Linked DNA regions of Coturnix japonica. The protein of the gene in region 3 interacts with the protein of the main gene of each other region in a pairwise test. Links are inferred from orthologs where the notes say so. Each region holds a gene or a part of one and is shown on either strand. Other genes may lie near its edges. The genes, in order: SH3RF2, AATK and PPP1CC.

Region 1 (3,647 bases), on a different chromosome or scaffold from region 3:
AACTGTCCAGGGGGTGGGGAATCACTGACCCTGGTGTTGTTCCAGAACTGGGGGAACGTGTTTGCAGTTTGGTGGCTCTGCCAGTGGTGTGGGGATTGATTCTAATGATCCTTGGGATCCTTCTCAACTGAAGCTGTTCTATGGTCCATGGGAACAGTGGGGGTGGGTAGGGTTTGGATTTAGAGATATTAGAGGTCTTTTCCTGCCTTAATGGTTCTGTGATTTATGGGGAGCTCAGTGAGATTCATGCCTCACCATAGACCTCAGAAAGCCTCAAATTTTGATCACTGCCACTGAACTGATGAACACTGGCTCCCAATGAAAGGCATACTGCAGCACTTTGCTTTTCTGAAGGGCTTAATTCCAACAGCAGAGTCAGCAGCACCGATAACCCCAGCAGCACCCATCAGCCCGTGGGCAGCACTCTGTACCTTGTCACTGCTGTTACGGGACATGTCCGGCTTCACCAGGATGGATGGCGGGGCTGACGCGGGTGGCCGGGGCACTGACTCACTCTTTGCCAGTGTGTCCATGGCGTCCAGGATCACCGAGCTGCAGACAGATGGAGTCCTACTTTCCCCTCCTCTGACTGTGAGCGCTGGCGGGGCTTCGTGGGAGAAGCTGGGCCTCGTGCCCACCTCAGCTGTGCCAGCAGCGGGGCTGCTGTGGGGCGGGCTGCCATCATGTGGGTACGGCTGCAGCCCGGCTGTGGGCACACGGCGCAGGGAGTTGCCAGCCTGCAGCCCTGCCTGTGCCGGCCTCTGCAGGGACCCATCTGGGGGCGAGAGTAGGGGAAATTGGTTAGTGAGGTTCCAGCAGGAAAGCACAGGGCAGCAGCATGCAGCGGGAACCAACAGCACTGTAGGACATACTCCCAGTACTGTCCAGCCCAGCATGGTGCTGCCTGCCTCTCTGTCCTGTATGGAGCCCCCCCAGGTGCCATGGGGGAAGCAGCACCCACAGACCTGCTATTCTCCATCCTTTGCAGTCATGCTTTTGGCCAAGCATGTCTGTAAGTTTGCACCCAAGCCCTCCTCTCATCCCTATAGTTTGCTGCCATTGGTTGCTCTGCACTGGCTGCTCCATCTGCAGCTGCTCTCCAGGCTGCAACACTGGAAGTCGTGCACTTTATTTATTTGGCAGTGCGTCACTGTTTGCAAGATGGATTTTTTAATAAGAGCCACCACAGGTGTGTGAGGTCCTCTACAGCAAAACTGCTTTTAAGATAAACCCAGTGCTGAATCTAAAACCTCCAGCAGTGGCCCTTGCAAATGCGCTGGGCCTCGGCCAGCATCGCTGCCCATCTCCACCCCAACCTGGGGACTGTGCTGTGGCTGCTCAGACATTCAGTGCACCTTTCCACCTGCAGCCTATTCATGACTTCATGTATCTTGGATGTTTCTAAGCTGTAAAACTTTGCTCCTGAAACAAAATTATTCCATTCTGTTGCTCATCCTTTCTATGCTCGTTTCTAATTTTACTCTATTGGAGTTATCAGAATATGAGAAGTATTCAGGAGATGAGCTCACCAGAACTCCTACAATGGCACTGCTGAGTTTTACCCTTTTGTTCTGAGCTTCTTTCTTAAGAACTCCTGATAATACCTCATGCAACCTTCTGTAACTTCCTCTGCACATGGAGCTCTCGAGGTCCTCTGTGACAATCCACAAACCTCTCTCTGGAGGACCAAAACTAACGCACATCCCAGTGCTGTTTGCTCAACCAGGGCTCACTGCTCCCCATGGCACACTGGCACTCAGTGCCATTCCTGCTTCCTTTGCTCGATGTTGGCAGCACCTCGTGGATCCTTGCATCCATCCCAGACACAGCCCATAGCTCAGCCCATAGCACAGTCCCCCTGCACTCACTCTTCCTGGTGCAGCCGCGGCCGCGCCGCAGTGCTGTGTGCCCCATGGGCAGCGCTGCCTCCAATGCCCGGCTCTGTCGCTGAGCGCTCTCTGAGTTGCTGCCCTGCGAGGACAGCGAGGCGGCTGACAGCGTCCACGAGGCGTACAGCGAGGGCAGCTTCGAGTCGGGTGTGCTGGGTTTCCTGTTGGCAAAGGAGCAGAACGTCAGCTGGTGGTGGAGGGAGGCGGCGGTGCGTGCAGACGGAGCTCAGCACAGTGAAGTCCTCCAGCCCTGCATTCACAACACGGGGTTTGGAGGGCCCTGCACAGCTTCTGGGGCACTGCTGTTACTGCAGAGATAACTCGCAGGGAATAACCTGCCTGCAGTGTTTGACCAGAGGGGATATGAGAAAAAGAAGGGCCAGCAGAACTGAAGAACTGTAGATTTTGTCACAGCGTCTGTCTCAGAAGCAGCAGGTAACCAGCCAAGGGCACTGAGCAAGGAGAATGCTGCCGTGCTACCCTAACATACAGGTGCCCACTGACAAAAGGGATGGAGGACCAACGAGCCTTGGCCTGAGGCAACACACCATGAGTAGTGCAGATGTGTGCTCTGCCTGGGTGGCAGCAGCAGGAACAGTCAGAATCTGTCTCAAATCTTTCCAGCACTGTACCTAAATTTTTCCATAACCCTACAACTACGTTTGGGATCAGCTGCCCCAGCAGTCCCTGCAGCTCCTGCTCAGAACTGCGGACACCCATGCATGTCCCCAGCCCAAGGTGCACAGCCCTGCACCCCAATGCCCCTCCTGCAGGCAGGAGCCCAGGGAGCTGCTGGGCTGGGGATGGGGGAGATGTGGAGTGCTGTGTGACCCTCAGCACGATTCGCATGACTCACATGTTGGCTGAGAGGTGATGCTGCAGGTGGGGCAGAGTGACAATGGCTGCCGAGTGCCTCAGTGATCCTGGAGCAGGATAGTAGGATGCACTGACCTGCTGAGAGAAAACAGAATGCAGTATATTAATGTGAAGAGGGGCTTATTTTTGCCACTGGAGAAGCCATTGAAATCACTGGACAGGCCTCACCCATGCTTCCAAAAAGATGAAAACGAGACACAGAACCTCATTTTGTTGCAGACAGATCCAGCAAATGAGGTGCAAGGTCATTCAATCAGCACAGGTTTTGCTAAGGAACATGGACCTGCCCTTACTCTTGAAAACAAATCTTACAAATTGCAGGAGCAAAACAATTGAATGTGAATGTCCTGAGCTGTCCTGGCTGGTTGCTGTGTGTGTGTCCAGCAGTGCAGCCCAGGATAAATGGCACCAGGACAGCATCACCTCCTGTCACTGCTCCACACCGCTCCCAGAGCCTCCGCTCCCCTTCTGCAACTGCTGCCCCTTCTGTTGTGTTTCTGTGCTCCCCCACCAGCACCACCCCAGTGCAGTGGCTGTGCTTCACTGCGCTCTGTGCTCACACACCAACCAGCCCAGCACAAAGATCCCTGTGAGTCTGCAGGAGAAAAATGGTTGTTCAGAAGGAAGGAAACCTGACCAGGCAGCACATCATCGGTGCTGCGGTTTATGCTGTTGACAATAGCTCACACCGAGACACTTTGGGTAAAATTATATTGGGGTCATGAGACACGGTACCGATTCAATTGAATTATGGTTCTATTGTAGGGCTTCATTTCCTCTCACATAAAAGAGGGCCTAATATCCAGGGCTCTTTGCAGGCTAATGCTAAGCACAAAATGCCTGCTGGGTTTTATTGTGCGGACACCGAACTGCCAGGGGCTG
Region 2 (3,647 bases), on a different chromosome or scaffold from region 3:
CCTTCAGCTCCTTCACCACCACCTGCGTGCTGCTGATGCCCGAGTTCACCTCCCCCAGGAACACCTGGGGGCAAGGGACAGGCATGTCCCCATCTATCCATCCTCACTGCACCTTGCTCCCAGTGAGGGACACAGTGTCCCCTGCAACCCACATCCCCACAGGGAGCAGATCCTGCACGCACCCTGCCCCAGTATCCCAAAACCCCAATGCCCTGTGCTCACCTTGCCAAACCATCCATGCCCAATCTCCTTCAGGTACAGCAGGCTCTGCCTCCCAAGGTCTGCGGACTTGAGGAGCTGCACTGTAACAGAGCACATCCAGCTGCCTGTGCGCTCATGTGCCCACCCATAGCCCCAACCCACCCGAGTTACCCGCCGATTCCAGCCGAGCCCTGGGGTCCTTCCTGCTGTGCCACCCCACGCCGTCCTGGGATGTTCTGTCAGCAGTGGGGGGGCCATCCCCACACACCCTGCATCCTTCCCACCCAGCATCCTGGTGCGGCCGTGCCGGTGTGGGGACATGGGGTGTCCCCAAGCACAGCGGTGGGGAGCTGCTTCTCCTCCCCAGGGATGGGGAGAGCAGAATGGAGCTGAGCTGGAGCTCTGGCATTTAGCCACACACCCAGCCCCCTCCCAGCACAGGTCCTGCCCCCCGTGCACCCATGCCAAGGGTGCAGCAATGGGGCCATTGTTGGGCTGCATCACGCCGCCCCAGCCCTGCCACACTGCTGCTATTCTCTGAGCTGGGGAGAGCAACAATGGGAGCGAGGGGGCTGTGGCACAGCAGCCCCCCCCAGATTCCTCTCCCACTCGCTGCCTTGTTTACGCAGGGCTGGGGCTGGTGGGTGCCATGGGAAAGAGCACCCTATGGTGTGGTTCAGTGGGCATGGTGGGGATGGGCTGACAGTTAGACATGATCTTAATGCTCTCCTCCAGCCTCAGCGATTCCATGTCCCAGCACATGGCAGCAGGGATGCACACTGCTCCCCTTGGTGCCACGCAAGGCAACAAACCACCCTCGTGCAGAAGGACAGGGCTGCTCAAGGGACCTCATCCTCCTGCTGCCCCATCGGAAGCTGTTTCAGCTATGCCAAGCACAGGGCTGTGATCACCCCTCCTGGCTCCACCCCACCCCAGGGTGCACGGGGACCCCACAGTGCCCATCCCCTCCCCATGCAGCTTACCTGAGCGCCCCGGCTGCTTGGCCATGGGCAGGGACACCTCGGTGAGGGGCAGGACGTACACCTCGGGGCCATGCTGCGGGGCGGGCGAGCCCTGGGCCGAGAACTCCGTCACGTAGTCGTCCCCGTCGGTGTTCTCAAACTCCTGTGCCGGGGCGGAGGGGAGCGCACGGCGGGGGGGACACACAAGGAGCAAAGACAACTGACCCTGCGGGCTCCCTGCAGCCCGCCCCGCAGCACAGCCACCCGCACCCCATAGCGCATCACCGAGCCCCTCTGGCAGTGCCCCCCAGCCCCATACCTGGCACTGATGCCGCACCAGCCCCCGGCTCTTGAAAGCCGCCTGTGCGAGCAGGTACGTGATGGTGAGCATGGTGCTGCCCCGCCGCAGCCGCCGCTCATGGTGCTGTGCGCGACCCCGCGGGCACTGCCAGCACCGGGCTGCGGCTCCACGGCCCTATATAGCTGCCGCGGGGGCACGACAGGGCTCATTGTTCCCCTGCTCGAGGTGCTCCGGTGTGGGACGGTTATACAACGACCCGGCGTGTCCCCTCTGCCTGACCCCTCCCCGTCGCGGGCGCCTCGAGCCTCCACAAAAATCCCAGCAATTAGGGAAAACTGTTTCTCGGCACATTCTGTGCCTGTGAGGTCACGGTGCCTCCCACCTCGGGGGCGTGAGGGTGGGACCGCCGCTGCCCTTAACCGTGCCGTGGCCTGGCCCCGGGGTGATGCGTGGGGCTGAGCCCCCACCCAAGAGACAGCGCACTGAGCAACAGGCACATCCTATGCAGTCATATGGCACGGGGAGACATCAGTGGGGGCTGCAGCCCCCTGCCCACAATAGGTACCCAGCCCTCACCTTGAAGCCGATATCTCCCTTCTTGCAGCACAGGCAGGCCAACATGAGGAAGATGAAGGTGAAAAGCCCGGAGAAGGAAACAGCCACGACAGCCAGCGAGGAGGACCAGGAGAGCTCACTAAGGGGGGTGCCGTCTGTGGGGACATAGGGGTGCAGGGTAAGGGACAGCACTGCGGGGTGCTGCACGCAGGGGCTTTGCTCACATGGTGCCCCCACTGTGCTCTATCACCACCGGACACACCGTATCCCCAAACCTCACCCCACATCCCACATGGCTCATGGACATGGATGCTGCCAGCACAGCAACGTGCATCTCCACCCCATATCCCCGCACCCACCACCCCACAGGGCCATCCCACACCACATCCCCTCAGTGCGAGCCCCCATCACAGGCAGCAGCTGCTACATTACTATTCCACCCAGAGCCTCCTCAAACAACCAGTGCGTTGTGGTGCAAGGAAGCAGGACGGCCACAGTGGTGCCACAAGAGGGGACAGCAGCACACAGACCCCCGGCCCATAGTGAGCCCCCACACAGCACAGAGCTGCACCCAGAGCCACCACATTGTGCCTTCCCCATTGCAGCAAGGGATTGGGGCACAGTGCCATCACCCACGCACCCCCTTCCCAAAGCACCACCACCATGCACCACCATGGGGGCTGCACCATCACCAGCCCTAAACCTCTCCCACCCCAGGTGCCAGTGTGCAACACCACACCAAGCACCGTGCAGTCAGCTCTGCCCCCACTCCATCATGTCCTTGAGGAGGGCACCTGAAGGACAGGAGGGCTGGGGATCCCTGTTTGGGGGCACAGGGCACCGTGGGCTCTGCACCGCACGGAACACGGCGGCTGCTGGTGGTGCAGCAGCTCCAGAGCCATCTTCTGAGGCTCAGCGATGCGCAGCCGAACCGGGGAGGAGCCGGGGGTGGCATTCTTGCTGCTTGCAGCCGGTTTCCATGGTGAACACACTTTGTACAGCGAATGTCACCATTTTCCTTGGATAGTGGGACAGCAAGAGAGAAAATGACTCACTGCAAAGAGCCTTTTGAATGCCGATGGGAGCAGAGCGTGGCGACAGAAGCCGTTCCAGCAGGGACTGTCAGCTGAGCCGCCCAAGGCCGCGGCGCAGGAAATGGAGCTTTTTGGATGAACCCATTTCCAAAACAACGTGTTTTGTCTCAGTTTCCCCACCTGCAGCACCGCTGGTGCAAGGAGGGGTGTCCCCACCCTTTGAGGGCTCCGTGCAGCTCTTTCGGCATCACTGTGACACCCCCAACCCCCATCACTGGACCCCCCAGCAGCTCCCAGTGCTGCCCCCACAACAAACTGCTCTCACCACGGGGTCACACTGAGCATGGCCAGCTCGGTGCATCCCAAAACAGGAGCTGCTGCACCAGCCCCAGAACCAGGGGAGCAGTGATGCTCCAGCACTGCCTGCAAGCCAGGCAACACCGCGCTCCATCCCCATGCCGTGGGGCAAGGGTGGCGTTCAGCAGAGCCCCAGCGTGGCACCTGACTCCACAAGCGAGATCAGAACGGTAAAGCAGAGAGCACGGAGATGCTGAGCACATCACAGGTCCACGCTGCCCACACCCCACACCCTGT
Region 3 (3,747 bases):
CTCACTGCTGGATACTGTCATTTAGTAAAGCTTTAAAAGCCTTATTCTTGAGAAAACTGTTGTTAGGAAAGTTACTAAAAGCCCCCAAACCAGACAAACTGTTCCTAACAGAACACAGCCCTCATTAGTTTGCCCAGTGCTTCCATCAACCTGCTCACTGAGGCTGAGCACAATGTTACTGAGAAAGGCTTTTTGTGATGCCTCAAAGCCTAACACCTCTATGCTACAAACATTGGGAGCAAGAAGGACTCACCAAATATTCACTTCAGATTAAGAAGCTGAATATATAAATATATCTAGATTTTTTTAAAGACTGATTTAATAATTAGCTATCTACCCTATGGCAGGTGAGACTGTATCAGCTACTTGGAGGGAAGTCACTTGATCTGTATAATTACCTCAAATTTCATGAAGTCATGATAGAAAGCACATAAAAACCCAATGACAAATCAATTATTGATGCCCTACATTAGGAACAAAAGCAAGAATAATTATGATTAACCATTTAAGCACTTTGCTTTACCTAGGCCATCAGACTACACCCAGCACAGCACTAAGGTGCCTTATAGGACACAGGCACAACTGTCTGCTCACACTGATTTGAGTATTTCATCACCTATCTCCAGAATGCATCTTTTTTCCCCTGACCTTTAAAAGGAAGAAGGGATAATGCCATATTAGCTGCTCATATCCTTTGATTTTAATAGTACAATTATATATTTTAGGTAAGTATACATTTTAAGAACAACAACACTGAAATACTTGACTGCAATTGCAACAACCTGAGTGCCACCTTGTTTGAAAGCCTATCAATTGAAACACATCCATCAGGCTTCAAGGCACTAACTGCATCCAGTTGTGTGCCAGCACTACACTGAAAAGAATGCCAGGTAAGACAGAAATTATTCCTCATTTATTCCAAATTAAATAGGATGACAAACCCTGCACATACTCCAGACCTGATTTCCCCCCCTTCCCCACTTAACACCATGTAGATCTGCCCTGTAGAAGTTCAGTCCCACCACCAACCTAACTGTACCTTCGTAATTCCAGGGCAAGGCTGAGTCAGATTTTAAACAACCACAGAGAACGATGCTCACAGCTACTCACACCATTTATCCATCTATCCACAACGCAGCACCTGCTAAAACACAGCATCACTTTGTCCTTTGGAGAAGTGGAAAAAGAAAAGGCTGCCACAAAGGTCAACCATCACTGCCTGAGAGAAATGTTTACAACAGGCATTTAATACGCAATAAAGATGCATATCAGCACAGGTGGTAATCATTTTAAACACTGAAAAACCATTACGGCTTCATAGGATCCAAAATCCCAAATGAAACATCAATAAAGCCAAAACATTTAATTTCAGTCTTGGCAGCTGATGCAACCTCCAGTAATGGGATCTTTAGGATCTTTACCATCTTTAATGGTACACATCCACCTCTGTGTCAGTCTGAAAGCCCTGAATGACCAACTCCCATCCCCTCTATATGTGTAACACGGGTACAAGCTGGGTAAGAACCTATTGGTGTAGCACATCTTGCCCCTTTTTAAACTTTAAAACAAGAAGAATTGTTCAAAACCAACTGCATTTCCTTCTGCTCCATCCTATTCATTGTTTGTAATGACCTGATCCGGGAAAACTGCATTAGTTACATTAGAGCAGACCAGGTAAGAATTATAAACTATTACCTGCAGTAAAAGTGAACGCTTATTAATGTCGGCAGATGTAAGACATACAGGACCCGACAGCACAAAGTGTGCTACTAGAGTTTCAGGAAAATCCTGGTCTAAATTTACAAAGGGAAGCCTTTAAATAATTTAAGCCGGGGTAGTTTAAATTGGTAACAGGCACAGCCCGCAACGGATCACAGCAAAAGCCCTATTTACTTTTACTTATTCTAGCTCAGTAATCCCATAATACACCCATCGGATTTTCAGTCCCTGTGGTTCCAGCAGCACCGCCGTCCTCTCGCTGAAAAACCACGGCACTGCTGAAAGCCATTTCCCGTTCGTCTCATCAGCACCTACATGACTCGGAGCCGGATGGAAACACGTTAAACCCCATGAAGCTCCTCAAGCGCGAGGTGCCCGCCCTGAGACACAACAAGGAACGAGGCCGGATCAGGGCAGCTCACCCCAAAAATAACCCTCTTTTTCCTCAAATCCTTTAGAAAACCGCTCAGTTCCCTTAACAAACCATCCTGCCCCAACCCCGCCGTGTCTCCCTTTCATTCCTCAGGGCACTCATTGCTCTGTGGGCTGAGGACAAAGCACAGCCCCCCCCACCCCCAGTGCCGGCTCCACACGCGGCCCCGTCCCGACCACCCCATCCCGACCCCCGTCCCCTCCCCTCGCCCCTCACCCTCCAGCAGCCGTTGGATGATGCTGTCGATGTTCAGCTTGTCTATATCCGCCATCGCCTCTCAGCGGCCAGGCGGACCCCTCCCCGCCGCTTCCCTCCCTCCCTCCGCTGGCTGCTCGGCTGACCCGGCTCCTCTCCTCTCTCGTCGTCTCGTCGTGCTCTCCCCGTGTCCTTTCTCCTACCCGCTCTCTTTCTTCCCCCCCGCCCTCCCTCTTTCTCTGCCGCTCTCAGCGCAGCTCCGGCGCGGAACAAAATGGCGGCCGTCTCCTCAGCGAGCTCGGGGGAGCGGATGGATACCACGAGCGCAAGGCGGCGCACGAACCCTTTTATAGGCGGGCGGGAAGCGCGCGGCGGAGCGAAGTGCGCACTGCGGCTGGTGTCGGGATCCTTCCGCCGAAGGGTGGAGAAATAGTGCCCACGAGGGGTGTGTGTTCTGCCCATATAACACCGCCTCCTGGACCCCAAACAAGGCGGACACCACCGAGATCCCACCGCTGTGACCACTGGAGCCTGATCCTGTGGTCCTGGACCCTCACCCCATGGTGCTGTGTCTGCACGCCCCATCGTGGCACCCTCCTGCATGAGGCGAGGCGTTGTGTTGAGTTTCAAGGCACATTCACCACTCAGGACATTCAAGTTGCATCTCTGAATGTTGTTTAATTGCTTCATTAACTCCTGGCCTAGCATCTCCATCCCTCCTCCCCACAGCAGCTGCACACACACCTCACATCGATGGTTACATAACCACCATTGCAGAGAGCAGAGTTCACACTGTGAGGGCACGAAGGATGTGGTTTATTGTACAGCTGCTCATAATCTGGCCATGTATAAAAACATAAGTATTATATACGTAATGCCCACCTACAGTCAGTATTGAAATAAAGAACATTTCATTCACCTGTACATACATATACATAATACCCAAACCACACACATACTGCATGTATAATGTACGTACATACCCTGTGCATACACACATACACATGTATATATATGCAGCTAGTGATGAAAAGCTCCTTATTTAATTCCTGTATGTAGGTGGATCCTAAGAAATGCAAGTTGCCCACGCTTCCCCTTGCTTCACATTACATATTTCCTAGGTCTGTTCAACTCAGTGTGTCTGTGTACATTTCAAAGACCTACACAGACTGTTCAACACTGGGAAAACAAAGGAGGTGTGATGTGAGGGTCAAATGTTGTTTTTCCTATCTAGATGCTCAGTGTTTTCCTAACTCCTGCTGCGTGTGTCTGGATATCAGCCTGCTACAGTCCAGATCAACTTTTGATGTCTGCTTTTTTGCCTCTGGTGTCTGAACTATTTTGCTTACCCCCACATTTCAGACCTTGCAGAGTTTGTGGGTTGTAACAGTCGTTGGTCA

The links.
Region 1: the proteins of PPP1CC (region 3) and SH3RF2 interact in a two-hybrid assay, tested with the Homo sapiens proteins (2 studies listed by BioGRID and IntAct). The link is inferred for Coturnix japonica from reciprocal best matches to the Homo sapiens genes PPP1CC and SH3RF2.
Region 2: the proteins of PPP1CC (region 3) and AATK interact in binary tests that used the Homo sapiens proteins (3 or more experiments, as listed by UniProt). The link is inferred for Coturnix japonica from reciprocal best matches to the Homo sapiens genes PPP1CC and AATK.

What each region holds. Positions count from the first base shown.
Region 1 is NC_029528.1:470,541-474,187, forward strand, and holds part of SH3RF2 (E3 ubiquitin-protein ligase SH3RF2), read right to left. Parts: intron 2,844-3,647; coding exon 2,746-2,843; intron 2,051-2,745; coding exon 1,869-2,050; intron 776-1,868; coding exon 432-775; intron 1-431. UniProt on the Homo sapiens protein: Has E3 ubiquitin-protein ligase activity. Acts as an anti-apoptotic regulator of the JNK pathway by ubiquitinating and promoting the degradation of SH3RF1, a scaffold protein that is required for pro-apoptotic JNK activation.
Region 2 is NC_029533.1:5,066,376-5,070,022, forward strand, and holds part of AATK (serine/threonine-protein kinase LMTK1), read right to left. Parts: intron 2,175-3,647; coding exon 2,041-2,174; intron 1,327-2,040; coding exon 1,185-1,326; intron 626-1,184; exon of another isoform or gene 611-625; coding exon of another isoform or gene 373-610; intron 303-372; coding exon 223-302; intron 65-222; coding exon 1-64. UniProt on the Homo sapiens protein: May be involved in neuronal differentiation.
Region 3 is NC_029530.1:5,191,203-5,194,949, forward strand, and holds the start of PPP1CC (serine/threonine-protein phosphatase PP1-gamma catalytic subunit), read right to left. Parts: upstream 2,664-3,747; 5' UTR 2,424-2,663; coding exon 2,369-2,423; intron 1-2,368. UniProt on the Homo sapiens protein: Protein phosphatase that associates with over 200 regulatory proteins to form highly specific holoenzymes which dephosphorylate hundreds of biological targets.